3 linked regions of the Schizosaccharomyces pombe genome follow. Changing the gene in region 1 together with any one later gene gives a genetic interaction. Each region holds a gene or a part of one and is shown in the gene's direction. Other genes may lie near its edges.

Region 1 (7,438 bases):
CTTCAAAGGAAAACGGCAAGCATAGCAATCCCTCTTATTTTCTGTCTTCCGTCGATCGTCTACCTACTTAATCATAGTTTGAAGTTAAAATTGTTTTTAACGACATCATTTTTTTAAGTAACTGTTGTATTCGCATTACTCTGAAAAGAATTAATTCATACTTAGTTTTGATTAGTCATATAGTTCTGTTTTTACTTTTTAATTTCGCTTTCTTTTGCTGACAAAAATTAAGGCAGAATTTTTTACGCGAGATGACGATCGACTGATGTACGTTAGAAATGTTTGTTGTAACTTCCAATCTTAATTTTTTTTTTGTTTACATAAGCAACAAGATGATTTTGCACTTTTAATACTGCTTACTGAAACGACTTAGAATACGATGGATAATTGAAAGAAGGAATCTCACATAATTGACTAATCAATCAATATATGCTTACTTTACACTTAGTAAACATTCACGTTGATTAGGTAAGGCACGAAGGGTATATTAGGAGAAGAATGTAGCCAGACAATTGTACCAGCAAGTGTGGGCAAATAATCTGTCAAGTTTTTAATAAAGTTAACCGAGACCAAAAAATAGAACTAACTTTGGTTTTTACATACGGTCATTTAAATGGGATTTTTAAGGGAAACCGTTTTCGGCGAATTGGTCGAATACGTTTCTCACAACTCCAATGACAACGACTTAGAGAAACTGAGAGTATGGAAAGACATTAGCAAAGTAGATTCCAATGACTCATGCAGCTCGGAATCCGGCGATCTGAAGATTCATGAAGTTAATTCAGAGGGACACATTATTGTGCGATGGGATGATGCCAACGATCCCGAAAATCCCCTAAATTGGCCTTTGTGGGCAAAGCTTGTGGTGACTTTTGATATTTGCTTCTTAACGTTTGCGGTTTATGTGGGATCAGCAATTTTTACTCCAGGTATATCAGAAATGCAAGAAACGATGCACGTAGGAACTGTTCCCGTAGTTTTGGGATTGACTCTTTTTGTACTTGGCTATGCCATCGGTCCCCTAATTTTGTCTCCACTCTCGGAGATTCCACAAGTTGGTCGCCAAAAGATTTATGTTCTTTCTCTCCTTGTATTTGTGTGTTTACAGATTCCCACCGCACTGGGATCTAGCTTGGGCGTCTTATTACCAATGAGGTTTTTGGCCGGTTTCTTCGGCTCGCCAGCTCTAGCGACTGGAGGTGCTACTTTGGCAGATATTTGGCAACCATGGCTTCTTCCCTACTTTATGTGTTTTTGGGCAATTGGAGCCATCGGTGGTCCAGTTTTGGGACCGTTGCTTGGTGGAGCGATGGTCGTTGCTGAATCTTGGAGATGGCAATTTTGGCTTTTGATGATGATTTCTGGCTTTGCATTGATTGTTATCTTCTTTTTTATGCCAGAGACTTCTGAATGGCATATATTATATAAGAGGGCAAAGAGGTTCCGTAAGATAACTGGAAACGAAAATTATAGAACAGAGGCCGAATTGGCATCTTCCCATTTAAGTGTTGCTCAGCTTGCAAAGGAAACCATAATTCGTCCGATAATACTAAGTATTTCGGAGCCGATAGTATTGTCTTTAAATATATATATTGGGCTAATCTATTCAATTTTATATCTGTGGTTCGAAGCTTTCCCAATCCTTTTTACTAGCGTTTACCATTTTACCATTATTGAAAATGGCTTGGTTTACTTAGGTATTCTCGTGGGTGCCTTGATTACTTTAGCCTGCTATTTCGTATTCCTGTATAAAGTGATGATCCCAGCATTCATGGCCAGTGGTGGTGATTTTGCTCCGGAAGGAGTTTTGGTCATTTCATTTCCAGCAACGTTCTTTATTCCCATTTGCCTTTTCTGGTTTGGCTGGTCGGGAAGAGAATCGGTCCATTGGATTGTACCAATCGTCAGTACGCTCTTTTACGCATCTGGGGCCTTTTTAATGTTTCAAAGTATGTTTCAGTATTTGGCTGCTTCATACCCAAAGTACGTTGCATCTGTGTTTGCTGGAAACGACCTATTTCGTTCGGCTATGGCTGCATCATTCCCATTGTTTGCCCGAGCTATGTTTAATAATACAGGCCCTTCCTATGCTCCAGTTGCCTGGGGAAGTACTATCCTTGGTATAGTTGCTTGCTTAATGATTCCTATTCCTTTCGTGCTACATAAATGGGGTCTGAAACTGAGAAGCCGTTCAAAATATGCTTCTTAATTCCACTGTTGTTGAGATCATTTAATTATTTCCGGATTTGTCCGCGCGTTATCAAGATGTATATGATGAAGGCTATACTCCCTTGTTCAAAGATAAGTGTAATGGACACTTCTCTTTCAATTTTTATAGAGTTTTATGAAATTTAATGGTGTTATTTTGTGTCGCTAATTGAGGTATTGATTGATATTATATTATCTATCAGTTTAGAACGTTTCTAGACTTGAACTTGTAATTGTCTATTTAAATAAAATTTGGTATACAAAATTCACGTTCAATCTTAAATTTATTTTTTTTATAAAACAGAAAAGGTACTACAAGGCCAATAAACGAATGAAGTTGTGGTTGTATTGTATTTATTCTTGCGCTTTAAAGCCCAATTGAACTGTAGCTTTATTATTTTAAGCCCATTGAGCAATTCAAAAAGCACGCAGATGTAAAGAGTACAATTGAACCCACTATTTTAAATTCATGAAAGTAAATGGGTGTAATTTATTTGCGGATGCAACACATATTATTAATGAGAATAAATAAGTGTATTATAATTACAATAAGTAAAAATCAAGTTTAAGCAGAGTTACAGTGCTAATTGAATTGTTTGTATTTTCTGACTCGGGACGCCGTTCAAATTAAACATTCATTGAATAGTGATTTGTAGTGCGTTTCAAAATACATATTTATATGTAAAGAATACTACACTACGCTAATATGTATGTCACATGTCCTAATTATTCATCGTACTATATATGATATGATATTGAGATTGATTTTATTGATTGTCTATTTCTATCTATATTATCTAAATACTAAAAATAGATCTATAGCTGAACCTCGTTCCTCAGTTTAGTTATAAGCTATATTAATGACACAACTTAAATAGTATAATACCTATACTCGATCGCTACTTATATTATCTGTGTATTGCAATATAATAGGTCACAAGGAAAACTCACCGCAGTTTATCGTATCGTTTAAAACAGATGCCAAACTGCGTAACTGATGTTATAATGTTAATACGTTAATAAACGTTGTTAGGTTTTAACGCAAACGAACAAATGTGTTAATGTGTGAATTTGAGAATAACCTGGTATAGCTGTTTTCTGACCAAATACTTAATACTTCACCAGTTATAAAAAATGGCGGCCAAAACGGTTCAGTATGACAATATTTATTTAAATCTAAGTGAAAAACCGGGAAAACTTCGTATAGCCCCGAGTGGTCTTGGTTGGAAGTCACCTAGCTTAGCAGAACCATTCACATTACCTATAAGTGAGATTAGACGTTTTTGTTGGAGTCGCTTTGCGCGTGGATATGAGTTGAAAATCATTTTGAAAAGCAAAGATCCAGTCAGTCTTGACGGATTTTCACAGGAGGTAAATTTTTTTAACTAAGTGTTTTGTTTTTGAAGATTATACTAATTAAACATGCTCAGGACCTCGATGATTTGATCAATGTTATTAAACAAAATTTTGACATGGGAATTGAGCAAAAAGAATTTTCCATTAAGGGATGGAATTGGGGAGAAGCTAATTTTTTAGGCTCAGAACTTGTGTTTGATGTCAATTCTCGGCCAGCCTTTGAGATTCCTATTTCAGCTGTCACGAATACTAATCTTTCGGGAAAAAATGAGGTGGCTTTGGAATTCTCTACAACAGACGATAAGCAAATTCCTTCTGCTCAAGTTGATGAGCTTGTTGAGATGCGTTTGTATGTGCCCGGGACAACCGCAAAGGAAGATGCCGCTGACGGTGAAGAAGTAGAACAGAACGCTGCAAATTTATTTTATGAATCCCTAAAAGAAAGAGCAGATATTGGGCAAGCAGCTGGAGATGCAATTGTATCATTTTCTGAAATTCTTTTGCTTACACCACGTGGACGTTACGATATAGATATGTATGAAACTTGTATGCGACTTCGTGGCAAAACATATGATTACAAGGTTGAGTACAGCTCCATCAATAGTCTATTTTTACTCCCAAAACCCGATGAGCAACATGTGGTGTTTGTCATTGGATTGGAACCTCCTCTTAGGCAGGGACAAACACGCTATCCATTCCTAGTTACTCAGTTTGTTCGTGATGAAGATATGGAAGTGGATTTAAACATTGAAGAGACAGTCTTAAAAGAAAAATACGCTGATAAGGTAAAAGCCAGCTATGATCAACCTGCTTTTGAAGTTGTAAGTCAAATCTTTAGGGGCTTGACTGGCCGAAAAGTTACAACACCAGCAGAATTTCTTAGTCATGAGGGTCACGCTGCAGTCAAGTGTTCTTATAAGGCGAATGAAGGCCAATTATATTGCTTAGATAAATCATTTCTCTTCATTCCTAAACCTACGCTTCTCATGAATACATCCGATATTACTCGTGTAACACTTTCACGTGTTGGCATGTCTGTATCCGCTGCCCGTACATTTGATCTTACTTTTACCCTTCGCTCTGGTACGTCTTATCAGTTTTCGAACATAAATAGAGTTGAACAGAGCGCTTTGGTTGCCTTTTTAGAATCAAAACAAATTAAGATTCATAATGACTTAGCGGATGAAACACAGCAAACATTGCTTACATCTGCCTTGGACGATGAAGATGAGGAAGGGGATGAGGAAATGGAAGAAGCACTATCAGAAGACGAAGATTTTCAAGCTGAAAGTGAAAGCGATGTTGCTGAAGAATATGATGAAAATGCAGAATCTTCTGATGAAGAAGGTGCTTCTGGTGCTGAGGGTTCGGAGTAATGATCTATAAAATTGAGCAATGTTAAATTGGAAGTCTATTTGGATCAACTTTTCAGCCTTGTCTTTTGCTATTACAAATTTTTTATTTTAATTCTTCGGAATCCTCAAAGTTGGCACTCTTGTGCATTTTTATGTCACATAAGGAAACTTCTATCGATGAATCCGAGTGGTAAAATCCTTTTAGAAAAAATAACACTTACCGGTCAAAATATATACTGTTCCACAATTTTGACTAGGCAAAATTATTCCAAGGTCACAAGACGCCTAATGACTCGCATGTTTTCCTTTATACATTGCTATGACCTTTCTATTTTGAGAAAATCCTGAGATATCCATTTCAAAGTAGCATAAACGTCTTTCACAAAATCATCTCGTAATATATTAAGACAATCGTTTAAAAGTGTATTATTTATTTATACTTATGAGATTATTTGTAGATATCATCAGTACATGGACTTTTGAATGATGTCTTTTATTTAGAATATTAACTACAGTACCTATGGATGCATAGCCAAAACGTTTACGACACCGTTATTTAACATTAGTATGCAATAATGAGAAAAATAGCCTACAGCACCCGGGATTCCCATATTGTCTCCTACGATGGTACTAACAAAGCCATCAGACGCTTAGCTGCAGACGGGAACCGGTGTTTTCGCCTAGGTATGGCTGACAACAATACAACTGTGTTATAATTATTATAGTGCAAAATTGTTTGGATGTTGAAATGTGTAGTAAAAATAGAAGAAAGTGCATACTTTGCACATTGATCAGACGAAACGAAAAAAAAAAAAAAAAAAAACTATGATTGTGGTTTTAAGAATCTACCAATATTTTTAAAATCAATGCATCGAGCTTTCATTTTTCCGCGCCGAGCATCAAACAAATTGAAGTACTAGTCATAAACATAGATCATGTTTTGCGTTATCCTGTAATTGCTACGATAGCTTGTTAGTTGTTTTAATTTATAACTTGGAATACAACATAAATTACAGAGTAAGCGTTTATTTGATCATTTTTTTATTTATTACCATTTTATTTTATTAACATTCCAGTACTTCACTTTCCTTCATCGTTATGTTTTACACAAAAGTGCTCAAAAACATTTCAACTACACGATTATTTAGCAATTATGCATACACACAGCACCAATGCAATGGGAACTCGCCGAAGTTATCATTCATAATTTAATGTAATACCGACGATATCGGTATTCGCTTTAGTAAACTACGCTACAGAAACTTGTAAACGTGACTGCTTTTTTTGAAACAATATTTTGCTTTGCATAATCCTCTTTCACCTATCCAGGAACCAAAATGGCCAAGTCGAAGAATCATACTAATGTGAGTTTGTCTTTGTAGATTGTTGAATGAATGTTAATACTAACTGAGCTTAGCACAACCAAAACAAGAAGGCTCACCGTAACGGTATTAAGCGTCCTCAAAAGCACCGTTACGATTCTCTTAAGTACCGTGATGCTAAGTTCCGCCGCAACCAAAAGTTTGCCAACCGTGGTACCGTCGAAGCTATTCGTCAAGCTAAGGCCTCTGCTTAAAATGCTTGGAATTAGTTGTCTTAGTTTGGTTTCTACATAAATGGCATAATTCAACGTTTTAAAAATTTTGGATTTCTAAAATGAGAATCTCGTTTGATTTGTGCTTCTAAAAATAAAGGTAGTCTGCCGGTTAAATTTAAAGCGAATGCGTAGAGTAAGCTCTTACTGGATGTATATGAATAGCTGTGACGTTCTGTTAATCTAAAGTAAATTGTATCATTGCACTTTTTAACAAAATTACCCGTGAGATTAATTGCGGTTGAACTTGTTTTTCGTGCTAGACTGATGATTCGCCCTTATACATATTGGCTAACTTTCGGCTAATCTTCACCGAATTTAGTCAAGAATTGGGTGGTACAAATTTTCTATTAATTGATAGTACCTTAGCAGCAGTATAAATCTGAATTTCTTAATATTATTATTGTGTTCATAGACTTGTTAGTGAGTACTCTGCTAACTCGCCGGTAAATAGCTGTAATGATAATAAGCACCTTACTCTCTCTTACGATTAAACGGTGGCTTTATATTATCAAATCCCAAGGAATGCCGAAACATTGTATAAGCCTACTGTATATAAACGTGTGAACTACCATAAAATAGCATCACTGAAAAGGAAATTTGATTGCATAGTAGTATAAACAATAACTAAATAGGCAAATTATTTTCCAACGTGAGACCAGTATACATAATTGAAATGAAAGACCTTTAAACAAAATTGTCAATGGTCATTATAAAGGATTCCACCGATAGCAAACAGAAGCTTGCAGCGGAAAATGCCATCATCAACGTTAAGCACTCTCTCGAAGATAAGAAGTATAAAGTAGTTCAAACAACTATTGCTCGGTAAAAACATCCGTCTTTTAAGCGTCAGATTTTGTTAAAAAAGGGAATTTAGATGATGAAAAATAAAAGGCAATAGTCTATATACATCTAACAATTGACG
Region 2 (7,349 bases), on another chromosome or scaffold:
GATAAGTCGGATTTCGAATTGCCCATTGATAATTTTGAAAGTCTATACGCAAGAGATGAATCTATGGAGTCAGGGTTAAACTCTGATCCCATTTGAGCAGATTTTTGAGTGCAACCCTGAGTGTTAAGCACTAAATCCCTTTGCCAGTGAAGTTGATACATATCCAAAACCCTTGTTATCAGCTTCTTTTGATACTCATGCAATTTATTTTGAAGTAGCTCAGAACGGCGATAAGCTGTAAGGTATTCCTTAGAGAAATAGTCACTCGTTGAATGTGATAAGCCAGCTAACTTTTGACTCGCGATATTAATTGATTTTTTGCGATTAGACAAGTCATCTTCTATAAGCTGTTTGCGGGAATGCAAGTCACACGATAACGATTTCTTTTCGTTTAGAGAGGCAGCAAGGTTCTGTAGTCGATAAGTTAATTCCTCTTTTTGGGTAATCTTTCCTTTTAGAGAGAAACTTTCTGATTTCAATTTAGCAACCTTTTCAAGCTCTGACTCAATATCTCGAGAGAATTCATCACGTTTATGATAAAAATCATAAAGCTGCTTTTTTAAACAGCTTTCGCAAATAGAAGGACGTCTTGTTTCGCATAATTGGCATTTATTGACATGCAGCATACAAACACACCTTCAGTTTAGATCCAACAATGCCTTCAAGTGGTACGCAAATTTCAATTATAGCACAGCAATAAGAAAACTTAAAAACCCAGCAGGATATTAATTTCCTACTACGTTAACTGTCAACTTGTATACAATATAGGTGTTGTTAAAATAATGAAGCAAAAACAAAGAAGAAAAAGGGAAAAAAAATAAACAGCGCAGGTTTTTAAACAATTATTCTTAGAAACGAAGGGCCTCCTAACGGACAAATTCAAAAATATTAATTTAAAAGTGAAACTGCATTCCTGGCTGTTCTTGCAGAATTGAACAACCAATGCGATATTTTTGACAGAAAAAACGACAAATATTAAGAAAAAATTATATTATACGAATTCAATGCAATGAGTAGATGGACTTCTATTTCTTCAAATCCCCGAAGTAGCTACTTAGCAGTTGATGTTCGTATTGATTACTACAATCGTATGCAAATAGTTACTTTATAAAGCGTTTAAAAATATTTCCTTAAAGTAGCCTGTTACTCGACACTCAAATTTTTGCTAAATAACTTTGAGTGATGAGCAAGGTGTTTTACAAAACTATTTTATCTAAATAAATAGGTTAATAAAATATTAACTAAATAATATAATCCTAGAACCCAAACCATCCTCTTTTAACATTAGCTTTTGCAGTATCACCTAGAAAACATAACGTGGTACGCTGCCATAATATAACGAAACACTATTTGTTGTCATATTTCTTAAGGTTCAGTGACAAAAGATCTCTAGTATCTGCAGTTATGTTTAATGATTTTATTAAAACTATAAAAGAATAAAGACAATTTCGCCACGGTATCTTTTGCTAAATGTTTAGTAATATAAAGAGCAAGTTGCCATCATGATATAGCTTTACCATAAACTACGTTACAACGTTTAAGGCATTATTTAGCATCAGTATTTGGGACCACTACCACCATATCACGCCCCCGTGCCACATCAAGAACAAACTACCAGCATAGTGTGCTCTTGAATTATACCGAATAATTCCATAATACAAAAGAAGGTATTGGGTGACTGGAGTCTTTTTCTTTAACAATCCGATTCATTGAGTGTTATTATTTTAATTTTGGTAATTTTCTTTTTCTTTTTTTAAACAAAGATTGTTTTTGGATAGCCAAAGTATAAGTCGTTTTTGGTGATCTTTAATTGCGAGTATTTGTTTATTGCTAGAGCTTACCAAGTTTGCTTCATCTTAAACATCAGGAAAATTTTAAATTTATATTTTAAAATTTTTTTGTCTACTTTTCATTTACATTTTATTTTTCTTCATTAAATTCTGCATATCATCTCGAAACAACGCTTATGTATTAGAAGAAGGTGGTCTATCCTAATTAACTCATACACATCTCGTAACTAAAGGAATTGTTTCTTGTTTTAGAAATTGCAATAAGTTTTGGCCCTCAAAATTTTTTGTAATCTGCTGTTCCCATATTAAGTTTTCAACTATTTGAGTTACCAAGAAACGCGTGAAACAAGAAATCTGTATTGTTTTGTCGTTATTTCTTCCATTTTAATTAATCTTAGGAGAATTTAAAAAGTTTCAATCTTTTTGCATCTATTCTCGGCGCTCTTAATTCGTGTGATAAAATTATTCATAATATACACGTGACCTTACATATTTTTTCTCCAAATCCTATATTTTAGATTCAATTTTCTTTTGCCATTTGCTTGGATACATTGATTGTTACTTAATTATGGATGGAAAAAGAAAAATAGAGCATACCGCTGATGGCACGCATTACGACGCGACTTCCAACGTGAAGCGCAAGCCAATTTTCCCCCCTTTCATTGCTGATTCGCTTTCAGAAGCTACCGAAAAAGCTAATGTTATGGGGGGTGGTATGAATTCGCGACTTCAGATTCTTTCAGAGATGTCTAAACGAGTTCAGGCTACTGCACCCATTTCAAGTTTAGAACATTTCAAGCAGTTGAGTGATATTTCTCCCTCATTTACTTCCTCTGCTAACTCCATAAATCAACCATATAATTATTCCGGTTCGTTAGAAAATCTTGTTCCTACACCTTCTGCTGGCACTCCTTCGCAATTTATGGATGCCCAAAATCCATACGGCGCTGTTTACAATGCTTTATCTCAATTCTCTGAGACAGAGCCCAAAATGCCCTCTTACATGGATGACGAAGAAGCAAGCGATTCTTTACCTCTTTCATTATCGTCTCAATCACTGAGTTCACAGGTTACAAATCAAAAGCCAGCCCCACATCGTCTTACAATGAGAGAACGATATGCTGCTAATAATCTTACTAACGGACTTCAATTTACCTTGCCATTGTCATCTCGAAAGACTTATGAGCCTGAAGCTGACGATGACAGCAATGATGATATGTACTCTGATGATGATTCAAATGCAGATCGCTGGGCATCTCGTATAGATACTGCTGCTCTAAAGGAGGAAGTTCTTAAATATATGAATCGTTGTTCAACACAGGATTTGGCTGACATGACAGGTTGTACGCTTGCTGAAGCTGAATTTATGGTTGCCAAAAGACCTTTTCCAGATCTTGAATCTGCTTTGGTCGTTAAGCAACCTCGTCCGGTGATTCCCAAAGGTAGACGAGGTAGACGTGAAAAAACTCCTCTTGGACCACGTTTAGTTGGTATATGTATGGAAATTATGCGTGGTTATTTCGTAGTGGATGCGCTTATTCGTCAGTGTGAGCAGCTAGGTGGTAAAATTCAGCGCGGCATTGAAGCGTGGGGCTTGTCAAACACTGCTACATCTGATGAAGGTGAAACTTCTCTTGTCAACTTTGATCAAATGAAAAGTTTCGGTACGCCTGCAAATTCCTCGTTTATCACTACACCTCCTGCATCTTTTTCGCCCGATATCAAACTACAGGATTATCAGATCATTGGGATTAATTGGCTTTACCTTTTGTACGAGCTCAAACTGGCTGGTATCCTGGCTGATGAAATGGGGCTCGGTAAAACTTGTCAAACCATCGCTTTTTTCTCATTACTCATGGATAAAAATATTAACGGGCCACATTTGGTAATTGCACCTGCTTCAACGATGGAGAATTGGTTACGTGAATTTGCCAAGTTCTGTCCCAAGCTAAAAATTGAACTTTATTATGGATCGCAAGTCGAACGTGAAGAAATTCGTGAACGTATCAACTCTAATAAAGATTCTTATAACGTTATGTTAACCACCTACCGTTTAGCCGCTACTAGTAAGGCTGATCGTTTGTTTTTGCGCAACCAAAAGTTCAATGTTTGTGTATATGACGAAGGTCATTACTTGAAAAACCGTGCGTCTGAGAGATATCGTCATTTGATGAGTATTCCTGCCGACTTTCGAGTTTTGCTAACTGGTACACCGCTACAGAATAATCTTAAAGAATTAATTTCGCTTTTAGCGTTCATTCTTCCTCATGTATTTGATTATGGTTTGAAAAGTTTAGATGTCATTTTTACTATGAAAAAATCCCCAGAAAGCGACTTTGAACGAGCATTGCTTTCAGAACAGCGAGTATCGAGAGCCAAAATGATGATGGCCCCATTTGTCCTTCGCCGTAAAAAGAGCCAGGTGTTAGATGCTTTGCCGAAGAAAACGCGTATTATAGAATTTTGCGAATTTTCCGAAGAGGAACGTCGCCGTTATGATGACTTCGCTAGCAAACAAAGTGTAAATTCTTTATTGGATGAAAATGTCATGAAAACTAATTTAGATACGAATGCAAATCTTGCAAAGAAGAAAAGCACAGCTGGTTTTGTGCTTGTACAGCTTCGTAAGCTTGCGGATCACCCTATGTTGTTTCGAATTCATTATAAAGATGATATCCTTCGACAAATGGCGAAAGCTATTATGAATGAACCCCAATACAAAAAGGCAAACGAACTTTATATATTTGAAGACATGCAGTACATGTCAGATATTGAGCTACATAATTTGTGTTGCAAATTTCCGTCTATCAATTCATTCCAACTTAAAGATGAACCTTGGATGGACGCCACAAAGGTCAGAAAACTTAAAAAACTGCTCACTAATGCTGTTGAAAATGGCGACAGAGTTGTATTATTTAGTCAGTTTACACAGGTTTTGGACATTCTTCAACTTGTCATGAAATCATTAAATCTAAAGTTTTTAAGATTTGATGGTTCTACACAAGTCGATTTCCGCCAGGATCTCATCGATCAATTTTATGCTGATGAAAGCATTAATGTATTTCTTCTTTCTACCAAAGCCGGCGGTTTTGGTATCAATCTTGCGTGTGCTAATATGGTTATTCTTTATGATGTCTCTTTCAATCCATTCGATGACCTTCAGGCGGAAGATAGAGCACATAGAGTTGGCCAAAAGAAAGAAGTTACAGTTTATAAATTTGTTGTCAAGGATACCATCGAAGAGCACATTCAACGTTTAGCCAACGCTAAAATTGCTTTGGATGCGACTCTTTCCGGCAATGCCGAAACTGTGGAGGCTGAAGATGACGATGATTAGTTTATACAGGGTTTTTTATGCATTAGTTTTAAAATAGTCAAATTGATTAGGTTTCTACTTTATTCGAGTAAACCTTTCTCTTTATTTTCAATTGTATTATCTGTATTTGTGTTTTGCACGTTATAAGTCGATCCCGTTTCACTAAATCAGATTAAAAGATTTGATTTGTAAAAGTAAATTCTATTTATTGAATGATACAAATTCAGTACTTCTTCAACCTAATATGAAAGCTTTTAGCTTCTTGACACCATTTATATACCACGCCAAAAACGCGTCGTGAAAATGGTCAGTCTTTTTTGAAGATAATACAGCAAATAAGCGATTCTTATTATCCAAAGTCGTTCTAAAACTTGCAAAACAAAAGTTGACAGAGGAAAGCACTTCACCTAGTAAGTTTATGAAATCATATTATTACATTTTATTTCTCAACTTCGAATAATAGTAATCGAATAAATAATGAATTTTGTTCAATTTTAATACTACAAAGAGTGTTAAATGCTGAATCTTTATATGTGGAAGCTAAGTCGCTCTCAAGTTTATCAAGCTTCATTATTATTTGGAAGCAGAGTAATTAGTGCTCTTGCATTTACAAATACCGGTCTAGTTTTGCATGGCCCAAGAAGATGGTATACTACTGATAATGGATTTTTGTTGCACCGCGATTCTAAGGTTTCGTTAGCCGATTATATTCATGAATCTACGTTTGATCCCAGCAAGGGTTACTATTCTCGACTTTGGACAGGCTCAACCAATAATTTGAGCCATTCTGTACATGTATTAAGGAAAGAAGGGCATAAATGTTCCAAAGAATTTGATCCTTTTTTGCATGGAATACCTATTCCTCAAAAGGCATTAAACATCTATGAAAAGCAAAGGTCTCTATTCTCTGAGTCCATTAGTAACTACTTGGTGTTGCAGTATAAACTTCGATATTTCCCGGTGTTTGATTTGAAAATATATGATTTTCATTCTGGGACTGGAATAATAGCATTGGATATTCTTGATTATCTTTATAAAAATCACCTTGAAGTTTATGGACGTACTACATACAATATAGTCTTGCATAATTCTTGGCAAGCAAGCTGGTTTAAGAGCATGTTGACATCTGTGAGATATGCAAAGCATGGAGATCATATTGATATATATGTTAGTGATCCATTAACGTGGAACCATACTGATACAAATCCTTGCTTTGTATTGGCATTACAGGTAATTAGCTCCTTCGGTCATGATTTATTTCGTCAGAGTAACGGCGCCATGATGATGGAACGGTGCTGGCTTGGTCCAGAGCACTTTTTAAACGAATTCTTCACTCTAAATACTCACCAAAAAGTTAGCTCTTTGAATTACCATTTAGCATTTCAACAAGCTAGGATTAATGTTCAGCAAGGGTTTAGCGACAGCAGGGCTAAACGGTACTTTTCCGGTGTTAAACAAGTATTTTGGTCCTTTTTTAGCACGCAAAAACTCACATACTATCCTACGAAAGCCATTAGATTTTTTGAACGATTGTCAAAACAGTTTCCGCACCACAGTCTGCTTTTGATGGACGTGTGTCACGTTGACAAATCCTTGCCTGGAATCAATGCACCGTCTGTTTTAAGTATGGAAAATGATTTTTCTACAAAAAAAATGTCTTCTAACATTGGGCACGTGTTTCAAAATGAGACCGTCAAATATGTGTTTCCCACACCTTTATATCTAGTTTCAGATATACTTCAGCTTGCTACTCATAATCGGTCCTTCATTTGTTCACTTCCCCATTTCTTAAGGCGATGGTCTAATGAACATGGTAGAAAGTTTTTCGTTCCTGTAGAACCGTCATCTAAAAACCTAAAAGTTCCTTATTCCTTCAACAATTACTACGTTGTCTCGTCTATGCCAACTTATTATTACTAAATGGCAAGTACTATTTTTCTTATTCTTTGTTCAACTTGAGAGGTGCACTAAGCGGGCTAGTGAATTGACTTTAGTTATTTATTTATTTATTTTTTGAAAATTGGTTATAAATAAAATAGCTTTAAATTGGAAAGAATATCATATTCAGTTAGGGTTGAAAAGGTTAAATAATGAAATTGCCAGTGTCAACTCGAAAGAGAATGCGAGCTTTAAACTGCATAAATAATTAAATATCGGAAATTTATACAATCTTCAAACGCAAGCCGTATTCAGTTTTGTATTGAACATCGATTGAATTGCTATAATCTTCCTATTAAAGATTT
Region 3 (5,174 bases), on another chromosome or scaffold:
ATGTTTTACACTTCGTAACTCGACTGTTAAACTTGCGTTCACGTTTGGTACCTTACCAAAAGTTTCTCTTACAGACATTTCCTCTTAACGAGGTTTCTCCCTCCCTCGATCCGAGAATTTCAAAATCTCTTCGAAACTTGCAAGATCTTTATAAATTGTTGGCCATACGGGATACCAGTTTTTCCAATACCACACCCTCTTCCATATCCAAGTTGAGCATTCAACCACCGACCTTCCAATTGTTTTCCACTCTAGAAACCATATACTTAGAATTAAAAGACTCCATGCCTCCTAATGAAGCGGCAGATTGGATGATAGCCACAACGTCTTGTATGCTCGCTCAGTTTGCTTTACACTCACCATATGCCTTTTTCCACGACATTCCTAGTATTTCGCATTTCTTAAATAAATGCCTTCCACCTACCATACTCGACTTGCTACAACAAATCCAAAGAAAGGCAGAAGCCAGCTCCATAAGTCCGACTACGGAAACAGCTACGAAAACACGACTCAAGTTTCAGTTTATTGAAATGATCTTTTCATAATATTATATTATTATTAATAGTAGAATTACTTTACAATCTTTCCAAACATATATAAAATCATTTGCATAGCAAACATACCAAACCACATCAACTTCGCACACTGGATTCTTTGGGATATTTTGAATGTGAATAATAATATTCCATTCACCATCAATCTAAATCACCAACATAAACAATAATAATAATAATAAATCCATTAATAAACCAAGATGCCCAGGAGTGGAACGGGAAATGGAGTGTGAGAAGTGTCTGTATGAGTGCCAATGACACAAATTATTTCCATACATGGCGGAAAGGAACAAACAGTCGAAAAAAAAGAAACTCAACTCTCCAACCAGTGGTGATAGCTATAAAATGCACAAGGGAAGAAGATTAACCAAGGGAAGAAAAAGCATCTCGTCCCCGTCGAATCGAACACAAAACCCAATTTGATCCAGTACGACTTGTGCAAAACAAAACACCTTTCAACTCCACGAACCGGTCATAGAAATGAAGAACCATGTGTAATGTAAAAAAAACTATCGCGTGATGTGCTGCACCTGTGTTGTTGTTGTCGTCATTGTACGGGGAATAAAATAGGAATGCGATACAAAAGGCGGAAATGGAAAAGAGGAGGGAACGAAAACGTTAAAAAAGGGAGGAGGAAAATATATATTTCCAAAAGAGCAAATAACCTACCCCCTTTTGTTTCGTGAGGTTGTCATTGTCGAAATGGAAGGCTGTGGAAACTCATCAGCTGACTAAAAGACGATTGCACAATCGTGCGATTCGCTTACTGAGCAGAAGAAGAATACTTGGTGACGGATTTGGTACCTTCGGTAACGGCGTGCTTGGCTAACTCACCGGGAAGAATCAAACGAACAGCAGTCTGGATTTCACGGGAAGAAATAGTGGACTTCTTGTTGTAAGCAGCAAGCTTGGAAGCCTCAGTGGCAATACGCTCAAAAATATCGTTGACGAAAGAGTTCAAGATACGCATGGCTTGGTTGGAAATACCAGTATCAGGGTGAACTTGCTTCAACACCTTGTAAATATAGGATGAATAAGTTTCCTTTCTGTTTTTACCACGCTTCTTATCAGCAGACTTCATGGTATCCCTAGGAGCCTTACCGGCGGGAGCCTTGGAAGCGGGTTTCTTTTCAGCAGCAGACATTTTTTACGATTTAAAAATTGGTTGTCGAGAGAATCTCAAAATTGATGGACTGAACTAAGTAATTGCAATTGTAGGAATTTGATAATCCTAAACTTTCGTGCAATATCAAGTTGTTGGTATTAACTAACATGCCTGCAGGCGACGCGATGGTTATATACAACTTGGGCATCACAACCCTAACCCTGGTGTTTAGCCATGCGACGCGGAAACGTCATCTACAAGAACGCGTTAGACGTGCTTATACGGAAGATTAGAATTAGTATATATATGAAGGGTGCGCGCTCCTATGTCTCCTTTTCCCTATATCGCGACTTTTCGTTGTTTAGGATACCTTTTGATCCATACACGTATTGAAATTGATATAAACAATTGATCCTTAGTTGATAAGGAGATTGATTGTCCGTAAAGGCTGAAATTGCGAGAAAATTCTGTTAATTTCACCAAATTTGATCCATTCGCTGCTTCATCGTTGACTGTTATCTTTTTTCATTAAAGAAGGAAAAATCTTTTTTTTTTAACTCAAACTTTTATTTTTTTTATTTAGTTTCAGTATTTTTCGTCATGTCTGGAGGTAAATCTGGTGGTAAGGCTGCTGTTGCCAAATCTGCTCAATCCCGTTCTGCCAAGGCCGGTTTGGCTTTCCCCGTTGGTCGTGTCCATCGTTTGTTACGTAAGGGTAACTATGCTCAACGTGTTGGTGCTGGTGCTCCCGTTTACTTGGCCGCCGTTTTGGAATATTTGGCTGCTGAAATTCTCGAATTGGCTGGAAACGCTGCTCGTGACAACAAGAAGACTCGTATCATTCCCCGTCATCTTCAACTCGCCATCCGTAACGATGAAGAGTTGAACAAACTTCTTGGTCACGTTACCATTGCTCAAGGTGGTGTTGTTCCCAACATCAACGCCCATCTTTTGCCCAAAACTTCTGGTCGCACTGGAAAGCCTAGTCAGGAGCTGTAAAGTCAGTCGTCAAGTAAAACATTTTGAAAGAGGATGAAGGGAAAGACATTGAAAAGTTGTAAAGGACCTTTCTTTTTTTACAACCCCGCAATACTTTTTTTGGTTGTTTCTCGCTTCTAAACCATGTTTGGTTCTTTTTCCTTTTGAACTTTTTGCGTCTTTCTTTTTCTTTGCTGTTATTGTTTTCGTTATGCCTGAACTTTAAGGATGTTTTAGATGCAGCCAAGTCATTCTCTACTAGTTACTTTTACTAGTACTTGAAGGGCTTTTGCACAAGTAATTCCTACTTGAACTGGCTCCTTTGGTTTTTTTTATTTCTTTTTTATTCTCCCTTAATTATAATATTGTATAGTAATGAGTATATTTTTCAAAATCCTATATGAGAGTATGTATCAAATGAATAAATAGATTGTAGAGTGGAGATGAACAGATTGATGAAAGGAGTGTCATTAAACATTGAATCGAGCAGTACATGCAAAAGAATAGTACTTAATTTTTTTTTACAATTAATGCTTTTGAATTTCCAGAATTTTTTTTCGATGCAGTTTTTTTACTCTTCTTTCGTGAAACGGTAGACGTTTGCTTCTTTTGAGTTTTTTCCTTCGCCGATTTCGAAGCTCGGTCGCACCAGTACAGCACAATTCCAACTAAAAGACCAAGCATTTCATAAATTGAGAATGCTTAGATTTGGTAATTTTCACGTTTATTTTCCCTTTTTTTCTGTCTATATTTCTTATGGGCTATTTAGTCATTACGTCCAACCGATTGGTTAATGAATTGTACCCGGAACCGGTAAAGCCAGTTAACGAGAATATGTAAGCAATTTTTGGCAAGTTGGTGAATTTCACAAATTCATTTACCCATAATGCTGCTTTTATCGTTATTTATGGATAGTGATTGCTGTACGTCTCTTTATATGTTTGAAAAGAATACAATAAATAGGAAGGAGTTTGGAAAAAAATAGCTAGGTTCTTATGTAACTGTTTGATTTTTTTTTTTTTTCTTAGTTTTTTATTTTAATTTTAATTTTTGTTAGAAATCGATTTCATCGTATCTATTTAGGATTTTTCAATATTTTTTCTTTTTTGCCAATGTATTTTTATAGTTGTATGAAAATTATAATACTAATATCAGTCAATAAATAGCCATTGCAGTTTATTATTTTTATATTATATCAAAAAATATTAAAACATTATAATAAAATTTTTGCATGGCTCTTAGAAAAGCATTTATCGTAAAATTCGAGTTTGTTGGATTGTAAAATAGTAAAAAAATTCCAAAATATTGAGAATATATTCTGGCAAAAATTTCAGATTATTATACGGGAAAAAAATAGCCATAGAACAATTACAATTGTTACAGAAGTACAGAATTAAAAAACAAAAAATTTCATTACAAACATAGGAAAACTATTTGACACTACCGATACAACCAGCTGACGATGCCGTTGATTCCGTTAAACAAAAGTGTTTGAATTATTTTTAAAATGAATTAAATATATTAGTAAAAAGGTACGAAGAATTGAAGTTTGTTAAGTCTAGCAAAAATTTAGCGATAAACTTCAACAGTAAAAGGATTTGGCTTTACCAAAGGTTGATCATTGCGCTTCAGATCAATTGACTAACCATTTTTGTACTCCTTTAATCCTGTTTATCAAGCTCATCCATAAAGGTTGAAGTGTACTTTGGAGGTTCATTAGATTGACTTTCACCAACGTTCTGGTTCAATGAGTCTGGTTTGTTTAAAAACTCAGACTCAGCATCTGGTTTAGGAATAGAAATATAATAGATAATCACCGTTATTATTATACCTATAACGCCAAGATTCAAAAAAACCCAACAAAAAAAAGAAAAACCATTGTAATTTTTTACATAACACACAATGTCGACAACGTAATTGAGGAAAAGGAAAATAATAGAAATATATAGAAGCCGGTGAATTATCTTATACTTTTCTTTTGCGACCCTTACACACTCTCCGTAGGTTAAATCCTTCTTCACATATAAATGAATGTCCAAGGACGCCATATCGAAACGAAAGAGAAAGAAAGATGCAAATTCAGCTATTGGAAATTAAACTTTATTCTTAATTGTAAACATTTACCAATCTTGAGTCAACAATAGACATAGGAAAATGAAATGCCTTTCCCGAACAGTGAGATTGAAAAGGCTAACTTCTCTTCAAACCCCTGCTAACTACTGCGTGCACAATCTATTAACCACAAATAATGAAATTCAATTAAATTAAGTTTTCAGCTACTGAAAAATCCATTTTTCTTATATTTTCAAATTTCGTGATTTAAAAGTGTTCAATTAACTGCGTTTTGTTAGACGAAAGATATGAGCCCAAAGGAATCCATCGAGTTGCAAGAATTCCAGTCGCTGCTTCAGGACGAAGCATATGAAGAGTTAATTAATAAAAAAACATATGAAGCTATTAAATATCGGAGTAATGATGGTATTTTACCAATTATTATTACTTTATTTATTTTCTCTTTTGTTATAAGTCGAATGATC

The links. Genes that interact genetically often act in the same process or in processes that back each other up.
Region 2: mutations in pob3 (region 1) and fft3 together harm fitness more than expected from each alone (negative genetic interaction), as found in Schizosaccharomyces pombe (2 studies listed by BioGRID).
Region 3: mutations in pob3 (region 1) and hta1 together harm fitness more than expected from each alone (negative genetic interaction), as found in Schizosaccharomyces pombe (2 studies listed by BioGRID).

The regions. Positions count from the first base shown.
Region 1 is NC_003423.3:3,166,067-3,173,504, forward strand, and holds pob3 (histone H2A-H2B chaperone, FACT complex subunit Pob3), read left to right. Parts: upstream 1-3,308; 5' UTR 3,309-3,342; coding exon 3,343-3,579; intron 3,580-3,638; coding exon 3,639-4,940; 3' UTR 4,941-5,279; downstream 5,280-7,438. Other genes in the region: plasma membrane spermine family transmembrane transporter Caf5, read left to right, coding at 614-2,209; rpl29 (60S ribosomal protein L29), read left to right, coding at 6,257-6,283, 6,337-6,495. UniProt on the Schizosaccharomyces pombe protein: Component of the FACT complex, a general chromatin factor that acts to reorganize nucleosomes. The FACT complex is involved in multiple processes that require DNA as a template such as mRNA elongation, DNA replication and DNA repair.
Region 2 is NC_003424.3:2,096,059-2,103,407, reverse strand, and holds fft3 (protein Fft3), read left to right. Parts: upstream 1-1,602; 5' UTR 1,603-2,358; coding exon 2,359-5,127; 3' UTR 5,128-5,213; downstream 5,214-7,349. Other genes in the region: protein Atg14, read right to left, coding at 1-626; SPOM_SPAC25A8.03C (uncharacterized protein), read left to right, coding at 5,623-7,026. UniProt on the Schizosaccharomyces pombe protein: DNA helicase that possesses intrinsic ATP-dependent nucleosome-remodeling activity and is required for heterochromatin organization.
Region 3 is NC_003421.2:1,409,008-1,414,181, reverse strand, and holds hta1 (histone H2A alpha), read left to right. Parts: upstream 1-2,000; 5' UTR 2,001-2,259; coding exon 2,260-2,658; 3' UTR 2,659-3,038; downstream 3,039-5,174. Other genes in the region: exocyst complex subunit Sec5, read left to right, coding at 1-545; histone H2B Htb1, read right to left, coding at 1,318-1,698; SPOM_SPCC622.07 (uncharacterized protein), read right to left, coding at 4,299-4,685; SPOM_SPCC622.06C (uncharacterized protein), read left to right, coding at 4,998-5,174. UniProt on the Schizosaccharomyces pombe protein: Core component of nucleosome which plays a central role in DNA double strand break (DSB) repair. Nucleosomes wrap and compact DNA into chromatin, limiting DNA accessibility to the cellular machineries which require DNA as a template.